Linked DNA regions of Macaca fascicularis. The protein of the gene in region 2 interacts with the protein of the main gene of each other region in a pairwise test. Links are inferred from orthologs where the notes say so. Each region holds a gene or a part of one and is shown on either strand. Other genes may lie near its edges.

Region 1 (3,379 bases), on a different chromosome or scaffold from region 2:
CAGGGAAAGAGCGTGGTGGGGGGGATCTCTCTACCCACCAGGAGCTCCTGGCTCCAGGAAGACAGCCCCCACACCTGCTATGGAGACCCAGTGTCTCACCTCTTCCATGCCTCCTCCGTCTCCCAGAACTCATAGATGACAAAGGTGAAGCCATCCGAGAGCCTCACGGCAGTGATGCTGCAACAGGAGACAGGCAGGGAGGCTGGGGCTCAACAGTGGCCACCCTAGTCCTGTAGCCCACCCCTATACACAACCGCTGCCTTCAACCTTTCTGGTCCTCCAGCGAGACTCAACAGGGTGCCCCCACCACCTGGAACAAGGCCTGGTTTCTTATAGTGGCCAATAGCTATTTCTCAATGACATGTAGTTTTTTTGAGACAGGGTCTCACTCTGTTGCCCAGGCTGGAGTGCAGTGGCACAATCACTTCAGCCTCCCACGTAGCTGGGACTATAGGTGTGCACCACTTGGCCTGGCTAATTCAAAAAATGTCCTAGTAGAGCTGGGGTCTTGCTATGGTCCCCACGCTGGTCTTGAACGCCTGGGCTCAGGCAGTCCTCTCGCCTTGGCTTCCAAACTGCTGGGATTACAAACTTCAGCCACTGTGCCCAGCTGAAATGTCATGTTAAAATCTTCACCTTTATTTAAACAAAACCAGGTGGCTGCGTGTGATGGTTCACACCTGTAATCCCAGAACTTGGGAAGTCTTGAGGGGCCGAGGCAGGTGGGTTACTTGAGGCCAGAAATTCAAGACCAGCCTAGCCAAAATGGCAAAACCTGGTCTCTTAAAAAGTTGCCAGGCCTGGTGCCATAGGCCTGTAATCCCAGTTACGCAGGAGGCTGAGGCTTGAGACTCACTTGAACCTGGTGGGTAGAGGCTGCAGTGAGCTGAGCTTCCACCACTACACTCCTGCCTGGGCCACAAAGCAAGATTTGGTCTCAAAAACAAAAAATATATATATACATATAAACCCTATCTTTAAATTATCAAAGCATCTTCCTCCTAATTGTCATCTTATTTAATCCTTGCAACAACCCCACTGCACTGTACCTGACCGAAGGAGGCTGCGGGAGGGGGGCATTCACAGAGGAAGGGGCTGCAAGCAAGTCCCCCTTCACTCTTTGGGACCCAGAGGACAGCACTCACCTCATTTTAAAGGCGCAGATAGGCTATGCCGCTCCGGGCTTCTCTCTGCAAGTGCACTACAATGAGGAAGCCCCAAGTGACCATAAAAGGGCGGGGGGGCAAGAGCAGGGGATGAGGGGTAACAGTGCTCAGCCTGGAGGGAGGGGGACAGACACACCGCTGTGCAGCGTTAGGTACACTGTGCCTGGCAAGTGCAGTCTCGCCTGGCTCTCCAAGCTGGCCGTCTCCAGTTCAACAAACAGCACTGTCTTCTACTGAGGCTCCGAAACCAGAGCCTCTATATCCACCTTGCCTCCTCTCCACAGCCTATCGGGGTGGCCCTACTTCACTCTGGGGTCTCCCACTTCATGTAACAGAGAAAAGATCAAGTCTGGCCCCTGCTCCTATACAGTCTGTCCTGCTGGATGGGAGTGGGTCCTGCCCACCACCCTGGCTACTTACTCAAGCGTGGCCCCTGATGGCCACCCTGGGTCTCCGCAACAGCCGCACTCCTGCCCAGGCTGCTCCTCCCCTAGTGCTACAGGTCAGGCCTCAGTGCACAGGGGGCCCAGGAAGACCCCGTGCAGGACCTGGCCTGCCTCGTTCACAGCCATGCCCCCAGGCAACAGGGCGAATGAATGTGTGCCCTGGGGATGGAAGAAAGCCCTGGAAAGGGAGGGAGTTGGGCAGAGCCTTGGTGTAGAAATGAAGGGCAGGGGAAACACCTGGGCCTCATGCTCTTTAAGGGCTACTACCAGCAAGAACAAACGGCTGTTGTCTTCTGTGGACCCCTCCCCTGTGGCCATGGCCTAGCTTTACCAAGGAGCTACATAATCCTGGGGGGATGAACGGGAATTTGAGGGTGAGGCCCCTTGCCCCGCCCTAGACATCTCACCACAGACCCATAGGGAGGAGGGAGAGAATGGCCGCTACGTTTCCATCTCAGCACATCCGTGGGGAAGGGGAGAGGGGCGGCTACATTTTTTGGGCATTTCCCTTCAGCCTCACCGACTCGACTCTCCTTTCCTTTCTCGGTTGTTAACTGAGCACACACTACATTCTGGGCCTGGTGTTAAGCAGCAACTCCTGCAAGAGCAACAGCTAAGGCTGACTGAGCGCACGTGGCACACCAGGCCCGGCCAGAGCCGTTCACACTTGAGATTCACACACTTGATTGTATATGAATCGTGATCACCCCAACAAGGAGTCCTGGGGGTGGCCCCCCCCTTTTACAGATGAATGAGCTGAGGACAGGGAGATGAAGGCACCTGCCACGTTTGCATGACCTGAACCCAGTTCTTATTCACCCAGCTATGTGTCTCCCTGGGGTGCGATTTGTACTTAGGGGTAAGCCTAGTCCCGCGCTGTTCCTCCACTGCCAGGCAGAGCTCCCTGCCACCATCCCTCCCACTCACGCTTCAGCAGCTCACTCACTGGAAGCAGCTCCTCGCTCCGGCAGTCCCCCGCAGATACGGGCGCAGGGAGTCCAGAAACTCGCTGAGTTGCTCGGGGCACACGGCCATCTCCTGCCGGACCAGCTGCAGGTGCTGCCGGGCCACAGCAGGAGTCAGTGTGGGGCTCCATGCCAGAACTTCTCCCTAAAGACCCCATCCGGCGTCCATGACCTCCCTCCCTTGGTCTAAATAAACCTCCCCGACTTTTCATTGTATAATGAAAAGTATAAGAAAGGACTAGAACCTCAAGAGCCCAGTGCAGAGGTAGCCCCCACAAACGGGGAAAACGGACGAGTTGTTTACCCAGTCCCCACCCATGTCCACAGCTGCCTCCAGGGCCCAGAGACACAGCACATCCACTGACAAGAAAAACTTAGTTGATGGACTCAGCATTTTCACATGACTGTCCGGCTGACCACTTAGCTCTAGGCCAAACTTTTTTTGGATCAAAGTCCAGGAGCCTCTGGGCCAGGTATGGTGGCTCACACCTATAATCTCAGTACTTTGGGAGGCCGAGGTGGGCGGATCACAAGGTCAGGAGTTCGAGACCAGCCTGGCCAACATGGTGAAACCTTATCTCTACTAAAAATGCAAAAAATTAGTCGGGCATGGGGGCGGGCACCTGTAATCCCAGCTACTCAGGAGGCTGAGGCAGGAGAATCGCTTGAACCCGGGAGGTGGAGGTTGCAGTGAGCTGAGATTACACCACTGCACTCCAGCCTGGGCAATAGAACGAGACTCAGTCTCAAAAAAAAAAAAAAAAAAAAAAAAAGGTCCAGGGAGCCTCAAGAAATAACCCCA
Region 2 (4,783 bases):
TTACCTTTTCTTCTGAAAACTCTCTCATGACCTCTGCTGTCCATTTTTTGAACATAAATCATTTAATAAAATATTAATTGACATTTACATCTAGATGGTAAGAAATCCTCTACCCATCTGATTATTTGAGCCAGTTTTAGGAAACAATATATGCGAAGAAATGCTTTAAAATTGTTTTCTTATATAAATGTAATATATTTTCACTATTGATAACACACAAAAAATTGCAGTAACCACTCATCATATCACTGCTTAAAGATAACCACTGTTATCAAGTAGTATATATCCCTCTGGAATTGTTTCTGTAAAGTATAATTCTATGTTAAATTTATTATTATTATTACACAATTGGGATCATACTGTACATGCAATTTTGTATCTATTCTTGTCACTTTATATATGGAATATTTCCCATATCAAGATATAATGTTTAAATTGTTGCATAATATATCAGATATATAATAATTCATGTAATACTCTCTTATTTGGGAGCATTTAACTTTTTTTTTTGAGACAGTTTCACTCTTGCTGCCCAGGTTGGAGTGCAGTGGTGTGATCGTGGCTCACTGCAACCTCCACCTCCTGCGTTCAAGCAATTCTCCTGTCTCAGCCTCCTGAGTAGCCGGGATTACAGGCATCCGTCACCATGCCCAGCAAATTTTTTTAATTTTTAGTAGAGACAGAGTTTCACCATGTTGGCCAGGCTGGTCTCGAACTCCTGACCTCAGGTGATCCACCCATCTCAGCCTCCCAAAGTGCTGAAATTACAGGTATGAGCCACTGCACCTGGCCAGGGAGCATTTAAATTGATGCAATTATTTTCTTTTACAAGTAACCCTATAAAATGTAATTTCTTGAGTATCCCTAATTTTATGCTTACATCCCCAAAAGTACAATTTCTGAGTCATGGAAAAAGTTTTTCATGCTTATTGCTGAATTGAACTCTAAAAATTTTGTACTAACTTAACACCCCTACCAGAAGTATATGTTCATGACCACAGAAATGACTTTTTAAAACTAAGATGTGAAAATATCTTAGAAACAAACTCTAAATAAGGAGAAAAAAGTTGTATATAATTTTCTACTTATGAGGTGAATAATTTCATTTTTTCTTCAAAGGTGTCAGGAAAATAGAAGGACATTTTGGTAGAGTGATAAAAGGGCCAGATCTTCTAATTGCTTAATCTTAATGTTTCTGAATCTGTTTCCTCATCTATAGTATGAGGAGAATAATTTCCCACTTAATTAGCGAGGATGCAGTGAGATGATGCATGTGAACATGGTTTGACAACTATGTCATATAGATGGAAGATATAACTTTTATTAATCACTGTTTATATGTGGACAGATTTGATACTCATTATACTGTTTTTAAATGTCCATAACTTTAAATATTTTATATCAATCTTAATAATAATTTTCTCCATTTTCAACCTCATGTGATCAGAAAAGTCAATTTTCAATCAATTCTATTTGTTTTTTGAAAAAGTAAAATAATGATTATGCTACATAGAAAATTATAGTTCAGTTGCCAATTCCATTAACTTAGTTTGTCTCAGAAAAGGAAAAATTACCATATAAACAGAATTATCTATTAAGAATTAATATTTAATCTAAAAATGTCTAGTGCCTCTACAGAAAATTTGAGTACATTCTCAACTTCCTTAAACCAGTGCCTTTTTCAAATTTCTTTTCAAAGTTACACCTGTCAGTTTTCACTAAAAAATAGTTTGAAGATTATTTTGAATAATTATAACCAATGAAACACAAAGGCAAGAATAGAACTATTGCAGTGGGCCCTTGCTGAACCTGAGCTAGCACCTATAATGAGTCAGTCCTCACTGAAGGAGGAATGAGGAGGGAAGAAGGACTAGAAAGACAGAAAAGAGGCAATGATAACTTAAGAAAACACTGAATTTTTAAAAAGATAGTGGCTGGCAGAGTACCTGAGACTTGTACCCAGGAGGGCGTTAGCCCAGTCTGTCTATCACGATTGCCCCAGGAATTCTAGTCATTGTACTTGGGCAAGAGCTTCAATTTTTTAAGGCACTTGCATTTTATGAAACGTTAGTGTTTGCAGGTGTCTTGGCTAAATAATTTAGGGAATAAATTTTAGGAGGAAGTAGCGGCACAGAAGGGGAGAGAGAAACCAGGCAGGAAAGAAGAAAATAAGTCTTTCTGTTCCCATTACTTTACTTCCCATAGAATTATACAAGGTAAACACACACACACACACACACACACACACACACACACACACACACACACACACACACACACACACCTTGTAGGGTCATTGAGAACCATCTTTCTTCATTTTAAAACTAAGGAAACAGGTCTAGGTGACACAGATGAAGCAGTGGCAGAGCCAGGAAAATAATCTGACCCTTGTCCCTGTTCTTTCCACTGCACCATGGTAACTCCCTTTTTTGTGTCTTTTTTTTGTTTTGTTTTTAAACACTCTAAAACTGAGGATCATTTGTAGTCAAAGAGATCAATGCTATTCTCAAAACAAGTTCTGATCTCTCATAATTTTCTTGGTAACTCAGAATCAATGTTAAGTACGTTGAAATAAAAATGCAGTACTTTACACGGTAATTTTGTAGACTGTGCACCACGTTCCCATCCATTTTCTTACTTGATCCTTACAAAAACCCTTTGAGGCAAGGCAAGGCAAGTATTATTATCTTCATTTTTAAAGTGAGCAAATTAAAACCCAAAGAGTAAGGTCACTTAGGGTCAGGAAGGAGCCAGTACTCTATTCCTATATTTGAAATATAGGAGGGAATACACTTCCAAAGAGGCAATTCCCTCAAAAAGCACCAAGAGTAAAGGCTCTTTACTCTCTTGCCAAGGCATTCTCTATCCCCTGGAGACGCCTGCACTAGGTTAGTGAAGCATGGGTCTTGACACCCACAGAGGTTACTCCTAGTTTGCACCTAGTTGTCATCTTAAAAAGCGCAGTTTCTTACCCCTTCCCTTGGTCCTGATCCTTATTTTAGGCTTTTTGGGATTTGGCCTCCTGGGTCTCACTTCGAAGCTCCACCCTCGCCAAACAAGAAGTCGCGTCCTTGGTATCCAAGGTGACCGCGCAGCTTTACCCACGTTGCCCCTTTCGTGCTTTCCATTGGCCAGTTGGACTCCTATGTACCGCCCCTCCAATAGCCAATGGTCTTGAGGCAAAGGGCGCCCGCCTTTCCCAGGGAGTCTAACACATGCCCTTTTACCCGGACTCCCCTGCGCATTGCCTCCTGGGATATGTGGTTTCTAAGATGCCAGAGCTCTGCGATGTTCCACCCCTTTACAACTACCTATCCCGTCCGCCTTAGCGAAAGGGGCGGGCGTAGGCTAGGAGTCCGGGTCAGAGTTTAGAGCTTTCAAATTGCAACTTGCCTCTGGGGCTTGCGTGGCTGATGTTTAAATTGCCTAGTCAAGCGAACCGGCTCCCTCTTGCTTCAGCAAACCCTGACAGACGTCTCCTATTTGACTTGAGGCGGCATAGTGGCCAAGTCGATTGGCCGTGGCAAGTGACCCTCCCTGTAGCTGAAGTGTTCTAAGGACTGGAGAGAGGGGCGCGCCATGCTTGCCCCCTGCTCAGGTTGGGAGCTTGGCTGCCTCCGTCTCTGTCTCCGTCAGGTCCGATTGTGGGTTGGCACTGGGCGCTGGGCTTCCTGGGCTTGCCAAGCCAGGCCGTACGGCTCAGGTCGGGGCAAGCCCTGGCCCGGATCGGAGGCTGAGGTCCCTCCGCCTGGCCCGGCGCGCCGGACTCTAAAGGAGTGGACGCTGCAGGTGAGCCCGTTCGGTCGGCTGCGGGCGCGGCTCCCGTGCCACCTGGCCGTGAGGCCCTTGGACCCCCTCACCTACCCGGATGGCGACCGCGTGCTGGTCGCGGTGTGTGGCGTGGAGGGCAGCGCGCGGGGCCTGGACGGCCTGCAGGTGAAGTACGACGAGGCTCTGGAGGAGATGGCCATTTTGTCTGACACTATCGACCCCCAGGCGTTCGTGGAGGTGAACGCGCCCCTGAAGTTTGGCAAGTGAAATGAAGTGAAAACGGGTTTGGGTCCCAGGGCACGCACAGTGAACTTACTAAATTTGGTCGACTTGCACTTTTAATTGGTCCTGGCTTTCTAAACCTAATTTACAGTTGGCACCTTCGGAAATGCACCTTTTCCTCTGTTCTATTCTTGAGTATCCGAGTAGTATTTAAAAATTAGGTTGCCTAACTAAAAATTTGTTATAGAAATTTTATACATCGAATGGAAACATGATTTGGTATAATCCAGGTCAAATTATATTTCTGGAGCCGCTTGTGTTCTCCTTTATCCCGTTGTCATTAGCAAACTGGCTTATTTTTCAAGGTTGAAGTTTCTTGACAATTCATTGAATGGTATGGCAGTCCATCTACATTTCCCCTTACTCACAGCCTGGGGGTGTGTCCCAAAACAGCCCTGTCAATAGGATGTTCCGTTTATCACCTGGTTTGAGTATTTGGTTTGAGACAGGCGCCCAGCTTCTTACTGTTATGTTTCCATTCTTTTTGGCCTAAGTTTCATGAGTAGCAAGCTTTGAAGAAAAACACATAGTAAGCCTGCCTAGGAAACTTCAATAATAATGCCTGCAAAATAACCTTTCCTAGGTTTTTGGGTTCTGCGTTATTTCCTAAATGGCAAGCCACTGTGTACACACACTTTTCTAGGAAGGGCTCCCCAGACTGTCATTCTTCCTGCAACTGAAGGAAGATATTGATGATGATGATAATAATAATAGCATTTAGCATTTTTAA
Region 3 (5,056 bases), on a different chromosome or scaffold from region 2:
GAGGTATAACAAGCATCTCTCTTTGGGTATCCCTCGCCTTAGCCAGCCCCTGCGGGTCCACAGGAATTCAGAATCGGCTTCCAGTGGTGCTGGCTCCACAGGTGGTGTAGGGGCCACAGCTTGAGCGAGGAGCACAGGGGGCGGTCACACAGGAGGGAGGCGTGGAGCATGGATTGCAGGGGAGTCTGCAGAGAGAACAAGGTGAGGGAAGTGAGAGGCAAGGAATGAATGGGGTCTCAGTGCCATGTGGGGGCATAAGGAAGGGGTCCCTACTGCAAAATAACAGTGGATGGACATTTCCCTTCACTCTGTCAACCACATGGAGTGTGCAGGACAGAGCAATGACTCACTGAAAAGGAGTGCACAGACAGCCTCATTCTATGTAGAGACAGCCCTTCTGCTGCCCTGAACACCTCATGAGAATTGGGTAAATGATTTGGCCAGGAACTGCCCAGATCACACGTACTTGCAGTCCTCGCTCTCCAGAAGGTTCCGATACGTGGCAATCTCATTCTCCAGCCGAGCCTTCACGTCCAGCAGCACCTGGTACTCCTGGTTCTGCCGCTCCAGGTCAGCCCGGATCTCGGACAGCTGCTCCTCCACGTTGCTGATGAGGCTCTGCATCTGGGCCAGCTCCGTGCCGAAGCGGTCCTCAGCTTCACACAGGGAGTTCTGCAGACAGTCCTTCTGTAGTGGGAAATAAGGGGATAAAATGTGCAAGGCCCCCAGGGAAACTGCTACATGCCCCAGATTTTGATGGTGATAACAGGTGGGAGAAACCTGGGCGGTGAGACCTCCAAAATAAAAGGCTACTAGGCCATGGCACAGGGCATTTGCAGTGCAGTGAGGGTGAAGGACACATACCAAGGTGTGCTGGGCTTGGCGCTCCACCTCCAGGGCATTCACTGTGCATCTCAGCTCCAGGATCTCCGACTGGCAGCACTGCAGCTCCTCGGAGCAGGACATGGCCTGCAGGCTGATGCCTTCAGACTAGAGCACGGAGAGACATAGTCACCTCCCTGCCCAGATGGAGGCCAGGTACCCCCTGCTTCTGTACCTCCTCCGTTCACCTGGGCTTGGAACCACTGTTCTACATCCTGGCGGTTGGTCTCCACCATGGCCTCGTACTGAGCCCGCATCTCCCCCAGCACCCTGTTCAGGTCAATGGTGGGCTCAATGTCCAGCTCGATCCGGAGCTTCTCCCCCAGCTGACTCCTCAGAATCTTTACTTCCTGCAGAAAGGAGGAAGGGACAGACAGCCTGTGTGAAGAGAGGACCTTTGATGGAGCAGACAGCACCAGTACCCTGACCCTGCAAGCAGTGGGAGGGGAGTCCCACACACAAGCAAATGGGAAAGTCTTGCTGAGAGTGCAGTGGGGAGAGCCCACCTGGACACCTTCCTCGTGCCCAAGGCAAGTCTGCACAGAGGACCACTGCACCCTCAGACTCACCTCAGCCCTGCATCCTGATGCCAGCTGAGCCCAGACAATGCTCTGAGAGCCCCGGGGCCAGGGAGCTCCCCTGTCTGCCCAGCACCCTCCCCGGGAGTCTGAGCAGCCAGGGCCACACCTGCTCATGGTTGCTCTTGAGGGACAGCTGCTCCTCCTTCAGGGACTCCTGCTGGGCCTCCAGGTCAGCCTTGGCCAGGGTCGCGTCATCCAGGAGCTTCTGCGTCCCACACTGGTCCGCCTCTACCAGCTGGCGTAGGGAGCGCTCACTCTCCAGCCTTCCGTCACGGGAGGTACAGGGTCAACAAGAATGCCCCAAGAGCCCCTCTCGGCTGCCCTGCCTTCTTCCTACCTCCCACACCACCTTGGATCCTCATTTGTTCACTGTTTAGCCCTCTGGCCTCGAAGGTGAATTAGACACAGCCCCCCTTCTCAAAGAGCTCATGGTCTAATGAAGCAATCACAACACTACATTGCACAATATACATTTTTGCCATTGTATTCTGTGGCAACTGCAGTTCAGGAAGATGAACTGACTTGCCTAAGATCATGCATCTTGGGACCAACACTCGTGCCATTGCGGGGACTGTCAGTTACCAAAGATAAGCAATAGCCAGGTGCCTGATCGTGATCTGCGGCTCCTTATGCCTTACTTTTCAGCTGTCTTCCCCTCTCTCATTTTTGCCTAGGTACCTTATGCCTGGTACCTTAGGGCTCCATAATTAAATCTGAACAAAGACTCATCTGTAAACGACTTCTCTGACTTATATATGAAACCCAATGGCTGTCTTGCTCAGTTCATCCTTGAAATCCCCTCATTTTGCTCCTGGTGAATGAACTCAGGCTCCCTTATCCTCCATTTTAGGGAAATAAATGAAGGAGGACAAACATATATGCTTGGATTAATGAGGAGTTTTCCCTTCCATCTTTCATCAGCTTTGATTGTAATGAAAATTTTACTGTGGAGAATCTAGCAAGGAAGACAGGACAAACATTCACTCACTCAACAAGTATTTGAGCACTGGGATGGAGGGTGGGGAGGGAGTCACCCTGGCCCTCCTCCACCTGACTTACTTGATCCTAAAGTCATCGGCAGCCAGCTTAGCATTGTCAATTTGTACAATCAGCCTGGCATTCTCGGCCTTGCTGCACAGGATCTGAGGAAAACGGAAAGACGGTTCACATACAAAGCATCATACTCTAAGCTCTCACTCCACGTGTGGTGTCTACGCTCATGTCCAAGAGAAACCAAGAACCCAAAGCTCTCTGGACCTTATGTGGATTCCTCCTGCGAAGGCTTCTGCCTTCTCAGACCCAGCATGCCCAAGCGATCCCACACCTCACCTTCTGCTGGAGCTCCTCAATGGTGCGGAAGTAGGACTGGTAGTCCGGGCACACAGTGGACTCGTGGCACTTGCTCCTCTCGAGGAGTGTGGCCTCCAGCTCCGCATTCTCCCGCTCCAGCTGGCGCACCTTCTCCAGGTAGTTGGCCAGGCGGTCGTTCAGGAACTGCATGGTCTCCTTCTCATGGCCATTCAGGGTGTTTTCACCATAGGCCCCACAGATTCCAATGTTGCCAGGAATGTGACAGGTCCCTGGCAAGGGACAAGCATTGTGGCAGGTTGGGGGCAGGCAGAGGCTGGGGCGGCCCAGGGGAGTCGACCCCACGCGGACTCGGTTGGCATGTGCCACGTTGGCCAAAAGGCACATGGGGGCAACGTTGGCCTCTGCCCCGGGCTGGCACCCAACGTCGATGGAAGAGACAGAGACATTTCTTGCTCCAGGAGCCACGGTGCAAACCAGAGGGCATGAGGAGCTGCTGTAGGAGGAGGTCATGGTGTAGGGCTGAGACTGCACAGGAGCTTCAGATCAGCTGGGAACGCCGAGCCACTGAGACTGAGGTCTCCTCTCCTCCCAGCCCTTTTATACCCCGTCCTGGGTGGGTGTTGGCTCCAATGCTTTGACCTCCTGCCTTGATTATCTACCTGTTGTGGTGCCATCATCCTGTTACTCAGCTGCTGAGTTTACCATGAAAAGTTTCTCAGCTCATTAAAGGAATGTTGACGAATCTGAGATGCCTCTTGGCTCTTTGAAATCAGGTTGGCTGCTGGTGGGAGGTCAGAAGGTTTTTATTATTTTTCAAAGAAGCAAAGTTATTTTAGCCATCAGATGCTTAGACCTTGACTGGGTTTGGCCTCTTTATGGATGTGTCCACTCTGGAGACACAAACTTTCCTGTTGGTCAGTGGTGTAGCAGGAGGACTAACCCTTGTAATAGCAATGGTTCTCACTTGGGTTAAGACTCAACCAGCCTTCCCTATCCAGGGAAGAAACTAAGTCTTGGTATTGGTGGATGTTACGGCCTTGGGTTATCAAGAAGTCCTACATTTCTTCTTTCTTTAGTTGGTTGCCTTTCAGACTCACTTTGAGGAGCAACAAGACTTAGATGAATCCATTCACTCAACACACATCCCCTAGCTATGTCCCATTTGTCAGGCACCTTGCTGACACTTGACATATAGTTGGTTAAGCACAGAACAGTTCCTGTCATTGGGGAACAACTGTAACTTGGATAGATGTGATGTTTCAAACAAGGTATCTGAGAAGCTCATGAAAATGAGGATGACTCCGAAAACCATGGCTTATCTCGACCAAGAAGGCAAGCTCAAGAAGCCAGAAAAAAACAAAAAGAAATGAGCAATAATCTTACTGAACCTCAAATAAGAACTTTGAGAAAAGAACTCATGAAAGCCAAAGAACATTGAGTGATCAGAGCCTCTGTGGGCTCTCTTCATACCTTGCTTCCTTGATTCTAAAATCAGTCATGAGCCTTCACCCTATGAGCTAGGGGATTGAGCAGTGATACCTTTTAATCTTTACTTCCAACCTGGGAGGTGGGTACTCTTAATTTTACAAAATAAATAAATAAGCCATTGAGGACAAGAGATGTGAAGTCATTTTTCTAAGATCAACCTCACTATGAAGTATAAAGCCTATTCTTAACATCAGCTTCTTTCAACTGCAGAAGCTATTTCTTCACCTTGACTACCACCAAATCTCCCACCCCCAAGGATAACTACTGTGTCATTGCTAGAACTAAGAAGGATTCAAAGGCCTAGAAACCGGGCAAGAAGTTGAAGTGAAGATGTAAAACAAAAATCTGACGTTGTGTATTTTTCCCTTTGTATCTCAGAAAATACCTCAGATGTGGAGGTATTGATACAATAAAACAGAGTTTCTCCAAGGGCCAAATCAGAAGATGCCAGGGGAAACCCCTGTCTCTAAAATGGTTATATTACACATTCCACATTTAGATAGTTCTTGGTACTAGGGATCCAAGACTGCTGAGATCCCAAAAGTTTTCTTCCAAAATTTGTGACAGTAGATACATAGACCCCTGAGACTGAGAAAAACCTAATGTGGAACAATCCAAAGCGATTATAACTAGAAGTTACAGAAAATGAGTTTTTGTTAAGTCCCCTGAGCATTGAACAAAAGCTGAACATACATCTCTATAGGGATCAGATGTGCATACGTGAAACACAGGCTATTGGAGTTCTATCAAGAAGAAAAACAGAATTTGAGCATTCAGTCCAGATTGGGTTTCTC
Region 4 (5,045 bases), on a different chromosome or scaffold from region 2:
AATTCATATTAAAATAATAATAGCCATTATTTAATGAGCTAAACATGGTTAAAGCATTTCCTCAAAATTATCTCATTTGGTCTTCAATATGAAGTTTGGGGGGCTTATTATGAACTCTCATAGATGGCATTTGGATGTCTTCAGGTTTAGGAGGATGGGCTCTGTCCTGGGGACGAGGTTCAGAAAAACTTAGACGTTGCTGGCCTTAGCTTACAAGGTCAAGTTAGTAAAAAAAAAAAAAAAAAAAAAAAAAAATTTAACATGATTAGAACTGAGAAATGGCCTGCTCTAGGGGACTGCAAGTGATTGCTGCGGTTGTTCCTCTTGTTCCGTGTCTGAATGCCTCTCAAGTCAGGAAGAGAATTCTTTATTAAAAATGGCCGGAGGGCGCGGTGGCTTAAGCCTGTAATCCCAGCACTTTGGGAGGCCCAGGCGGGCGGATCAGGAGCTCAGAAGATCAAGACCATCCTAGCTAACACGGTGAAACCCCGTCTCTACTAAAAAAATATGAAAAATTAGCCGGGCGTGGTGGCGGGCGCCTGTAGTCCCAGCTGCTCGGGAGGCTGAGGCAGGAGAATGGCGTGAGCCCGGGAGGCGAAGGTTGCAGTGAGCCGAGATCGCGCCACTGCACTCAAAAAAAAAAATGGCCGGAGGTACCTGCATCCCACCTAGTCAGGGCTCTAGCTTCCCTCCTCTTTGTGTGCAATCCAAGTTTTAGACCCAAGGGTGGAGGACCTACCACTGTACAGTGCTGAGTAAGACAGGGTTCTCACCGAAGTCAGCGAAGTTCCCAGTCCTTTCTGGCGCGAGCTGCATTCCCAGACACTCCAGCTCTTGCCGAAAGGAGCTCCGTCTTTTGCGCTAGTGTTTGTCTACCCTCCCCTGCCCTAAAATAATGAATGCCCTCTACCTGAGGGAGAGACTTCAGTGGCGGTAATCTACTCGCGGCTGGCTGCATCCTTGAAAAAGCACATTTCCCTTCTACTATCTTCAAGATCTTGGTTAACCAGATTCACATTGTATTTGCAGGACGCTTTCTCAGGTGACTGCTCAGTGCTCTTTTTTACCGAAAGTAGGGCAAAGTCCCCCAAGGGTGCTAACCCTCCCCCACCCACATCAAGGAAGAAACAGTCCTCTACTCTTTTCTGGACATTCCGGTTCAGAGTCGAGGTAAGGGTTGCATGGCCCCGCCCCACCCGCCCCTCCGTTACCAAGCCTTCCCCCGCCCGCCTCGCAGTCTCAGGGCCTTAGAACCCAGGCGGGGCGAGGCCGGGAGAGGTGGGGCTGCTGGCTGGAGGCGGCGGCGGCGCGCAGCGGTACCTAGCGGCGCTGCCCGGCTGGCAGCCGGAGGACGTGGCACTGTCCGAGGATCCAGGGGGAGGGGATTCGGCCTTCTCCTCCCCGCGAGGAGGAGCCTCGGGACATCCTGCAGAGGCGGGAGGATCCTTGAGGGCACTGGTGCGCCTTTCAGGTGAGCTCTTAGCAGATAAAAGCGGCTGGCTGTGGTCCGCGCCAGTAGTGCTTTCTGCTCTGCACTCCCAGTGAGCCAGGTGCGCAACCGGAGTGGGGGCGAGGGGCGTGCTGGCCACCCCGCATGCGCAGAGCCGGGAGCCCGCTGACCGGACTACAGCTCCCAGAGGAGCCTTGTGGAAGCCGCAGACGTGGAGCCGCTGGCGCCATCTTGAAATCTGATCCTCAATCCCCGAGCCTTTGAGTCTGCGCGGCGGGCCGCTGCTGCTCCGGGAGCCCAGTCTGTTAAAAGGGTAGGACGTTGAGGACGCGGCGGCTGGCGGGAGAGACAGCTGGGGAGAGACATGGCAGGGTCGGAGCGCGGCCTGCGCCTCTGTCACTCAGCATCCTCTTAGACGTTTCCACGCCCGCCCCCTGCCCAAGGGGCGGGGCTGACGGCTGTGGTACCCGGAGCCGGCGCACGGGGTAGGGGTGCACCCCTGCAGAGTGAGGACCCCACTGGGCTGTGCCATGCTGACTGGAGACCACTGAGGCGGGAGACAGAGCGCGGCGAAGAGCCATTGAGTGGTCATCCAGTAGCCGCCGCCGCCGCCGCCTCAGGAAGCTTGGCACCCGCTAGGAGGGAAGATGAAGGAGATTTGCAGGATCTGTGCCCGAGAGCTGTGTGGAAACCAGCGGCGCTGGATCTTCCACACAGCGTCCAAGCTGAACCTCCAGGTTCTGCTTTCGCACGTCCTGGGCAAGGATGTCCCCCGCGATGGCAAAGCCGAGTTCGCTTGCAGCAAGTGTGCTTTCATGCTTGATCGAATCTATCGATTCGACACGGTTATTGCCCGGATCGAAGCTCTTTCTATTGAGCGCTTGCAAAAGCTGCTACTGGAGAAAGATCGCCTCAAGTTCTGCATTGCCAGTATGTATCGGAAGAATAACGATGACTCTGGCCCGGAGGTCAAGGCGGGGAATGGGACGGTTGACATGTCTGTCTTACCTGATGCGAGATACTCTGCACTGCTCCAGGAGGACTTCGCCTATTCAGGGTTTGAGTGCTGGGTGGAGAATGAGGATCAGATCCAGGAGCCACACAGTTGCCATGGTTCGGAAGGCCCTGGAAACCGACCCAGGAGATGCCGTGGTTGTGCAGCTTTGCGGGTTGCTGATTCTGACTATGAAGCCATTTGTAAGGTACCTCGAAAGGTGGCCAGAAGTATCTCCTGTGGCCCTTCTAGCAGGTGGTCGACCAGCATTTGCACTGAAGAACCAGCGTTGTCTGAGGTTGGGCCACCCGACTTAGCAAGCACAAAGGTACCCCCAGATGGAGAAAGCATGGAGGAAGAGACGCCGGGTTCCTCTGTGGAATCTTTGGATGCAAGCGTCCACGCTAGCCCTCCACAACAGAAAGATGAGGAGACTGAGAGAAGTGCAAAGGAACTTGGAAAGTGTGACTGTTGTTCAGATGATCAGGCTCCGCCGCATGGGTGTAATCACAAGCTGGAGTTAGCTCTTAGCATGATTAAAGGTCTTGATTATAAGCCCATCCAGAGCCCCCGAGGGAGCAGGCTTCCGATTCCAGTGAAATCCAGCCCACCTGGAGCCAAGCCTGGCCATAGCATGACAGATGGAGTTAGTTCCGGGTTCCTTAACAGGTCTTTGAAACCCCTTTACAAGACACCTGTGAGTTACCCCTTGGAGCTTTCAGACCTGCAGGAGCTGTGGGATGATCTCTGTGAAGATTATTTGCCGCTCCGGGTCCAGGTATACAAAACGGCTACACAGTGCCTTTCTGATTATAGCTAGCTGGCCTCTGGCTTCACATGATTTCGGTCTAGGTGGAGGTTAGTAATATTCTAGACTTGAGAAAATTAGTCATGAGCCCATTTTTGCTGCACCTTTTCTGTGTCTCATTTAGTAAACGTGATTCGTACTCAGATAATTTGCTTTTCACAGTCTTTGTAAAATCTGTTGGCCTTCCCATTATCAAAATTGTATACCTTTTAAAACAAAAAGGTAAAGATTCCCACTTCACTTTTATCCTGTAAAAAGAAGACATTTAATCTCATTTCTGGCACTAGAACTTTTCCTCTTATCTCCTTTTCTTTCTTTTTTTTTTTTTTTTTTTTTTAACAACTTTTAAAATTTGTTCTTGTTTTCAGATTTATAGACGTTTCCTCCCAATGGCTTTCTGTAAGGCAGTTAGTTCTCTAGTTAGTTCTTCCCAGAGCATTGAAGCTTTCATCCGCAAAATGCCTGTAAATGATTAGAGCATAAGGTAAAAGGTTTGGGGGAAACCTATTAATCCACCAGTAAAGTATTATAACATCTGGACAATATTTATTATAATGAATAGTTCATTTGAGGATTAGTGATGACTCATTCATAAAAGAGACAGGAATTCAAGTATTCAAGTACAGTATTGTCACTCAAAACGTTAAGGCATAAACTGTTCACAGCCAGAACTCTGCTGAGTTCTACTGGAAGATATTTGATATTAAGAAAGGATTAACCCATTATTGGATCAGAGGAGAGTTTCATTCATTATAGTCTTGAATTCTTAATGACTAGAGGATGGCAGTTGCTTAATTTGAACCATTCATGTCTGCCCAATTGATTCTATACCAACCTTTTAAATTCAGCTATGGTAGTTTGTTTCTATAGCAACAGTAAATGCTAGGTTCAGTTAACTTTGTGAAACATACTGGCATGTTCCACTTGATACAACTTATTTAGCGATACTGTCACAAAGGTAGATGTGATCTAGAAGGCATTTTTAGAAAGCCTGCTACTGGTCAACATCATTCCAGAAATTTAGAGCTTGATAAGTAACATTGTTGATGGTCACATGAAACTTTTGGAAAGTAGTTCTGTGGTATGTATACTTTCTTTCACCATAAGAACCTAAGCAGAAAACAGGAGAAAAGTTTTTAAATTTACACAAAATTATGAGTAGCAGCATAGATGAGAAACAGCAGAGATGAAAGTGTCATGAAAGGTAAAAAGTCAGTGCGTTTTCATTTGTATAAAATGTATGTACTTCTTTTCTTTTGCTTTTCCTTTCAGTGGAGCCTCAGCTGAATTTGGGCTTTACAGTATTTCTGGACCAGACATAGGTGTTACAAATTAAACATGGTGTTTTCTTATTAGGGTCTAAAATTAGTTGGGCCAGGATGAATGGGAAATAAACTCGTCTCCCCAACCCGCCACCAAGTATGGCCAATATTGTAGAACATTACATAAAGACTGAGAAAATAACAGCCAAAACAAGGTCTTTTTTCTCCATATTTAAATAAAATACTCTATTTTGGTGACCGGATTTTGGAGTTGAGAAGAATTTTAAAGATCATCTTCAGGCAGTCCCTCAATTTGGAGATATGGAAAGAAAGTTCATTCTTTAACTAACTTAGCCCATGCAGAGACAAAGGTTTCTGACCATTCTCAGGCAAGACACTAATTCTATACATTAAACCCCATTGTCTGAAGTATATAAATTTAAGTAAGTACTTTTTTAAAACCAGGAGCCCTCTTTCTCTAACCTAAGGATGCTTGGGGGATTTTTTAGAGATTACGTGAAAAAAATTGTC

Evidence for each region.
Region 1: the proteins of CCDC146 (region 2) and NECAB2 interact in binary tests that used the Homo sapiens proteins (3 or more experiments, as listed by UniProt). The two-hybrid records come from large-scale screens. The link is inferred for Macaca fascicularis from reciprocal best matches to the Homo sapiens genes CCDC146 and NECAB2.
Region 3: the proteins of CCDC146 (region 2) and keratin, type I cuticular Ha8 interact in binary tests that used the Homo sapiens proteins (3 or more experiments, as listed by UniProt). The link is inferred for Macaca fascicularis from reciprocal best matches to the Homo sapiens genes CCDC146 and KRT38.
Region 4: the proteins of CCDC146 (region 2) and PDE4DIPP2 interact in binary tests that used the Homo sapiens proteins (3 or more experiments, as listed by UniProt). The two-hybrid records come from large-scale screens. The link is inferred for Macaca fascicularis from reciprocal best matches to the Homo sapiens genes CCDC146 and PDE4DIP.

Annotation. Positions count from the first base shown.
Region 1 is NC_088394.1:79,872,851-79,876,229, reverse strand, and holds part of NECAB2 (N-terminal EF-hand calcium-binding protein 2), read right to left. Parts: intron 2,672-3,379; coding exon 2,559-2,671; intron 178-2,558; coding exon 100-177; intron 1-99. UniProt on the Homo sapiens protein: May act as a signaling scaffold protein that senses intracellular calcium.
Region 2 is NC_088377.1:144,366,853-144,371,635, forward strand, and holds the start of CCDC146 (coiled-coil domain-containing protein 146), read right to left. Parts: upstream 3,058-4,783; 5' UTR 2,973-3,057; intron 1-2,972. Other genes in the region: protein FAM185A, read left to right, coding at 3,580-4,030. UniProt on the Homo sapiens protein: Essential for sperm flagellum biogenesis and male fertility.
Region 3 is NC_088390.1:62,486,113-62,491,168, forward strand, and holds the start of keratin, type I cuticular Ha8, read right to left. Parts: upstream 3,347-5,056; 5' UTR 3,285-3,346; coding exon 2,793-3,284; intron 2,606-2,792; coding exon 2,523-2,605; intron 1,727-2,522; coding exon 1,570-1,726; intron 1,233-1,569; coding exon 1,071-1,232; intron 991-1,070; coding exon 865-990; intron 688-864; coding exon 467-687; intron 186-466; coding exon 68-185; 3' UTR 1-67.
Region 4 is NC_088375.1:114,058,225-114,063,269, reverse strand, and holds the start of PDE4DIPP2 (myomegalin), read left to right. Parts: upstream 1-1,712; 5' UTR 1,713-2,097; coding exon 2,098-3,222; intron 3,223-5,045. UniProt on the Homo sapiens protein: Functions as an anchor sequestering components of the cAMP-dependent pathway to Golgi and/or centrosomes.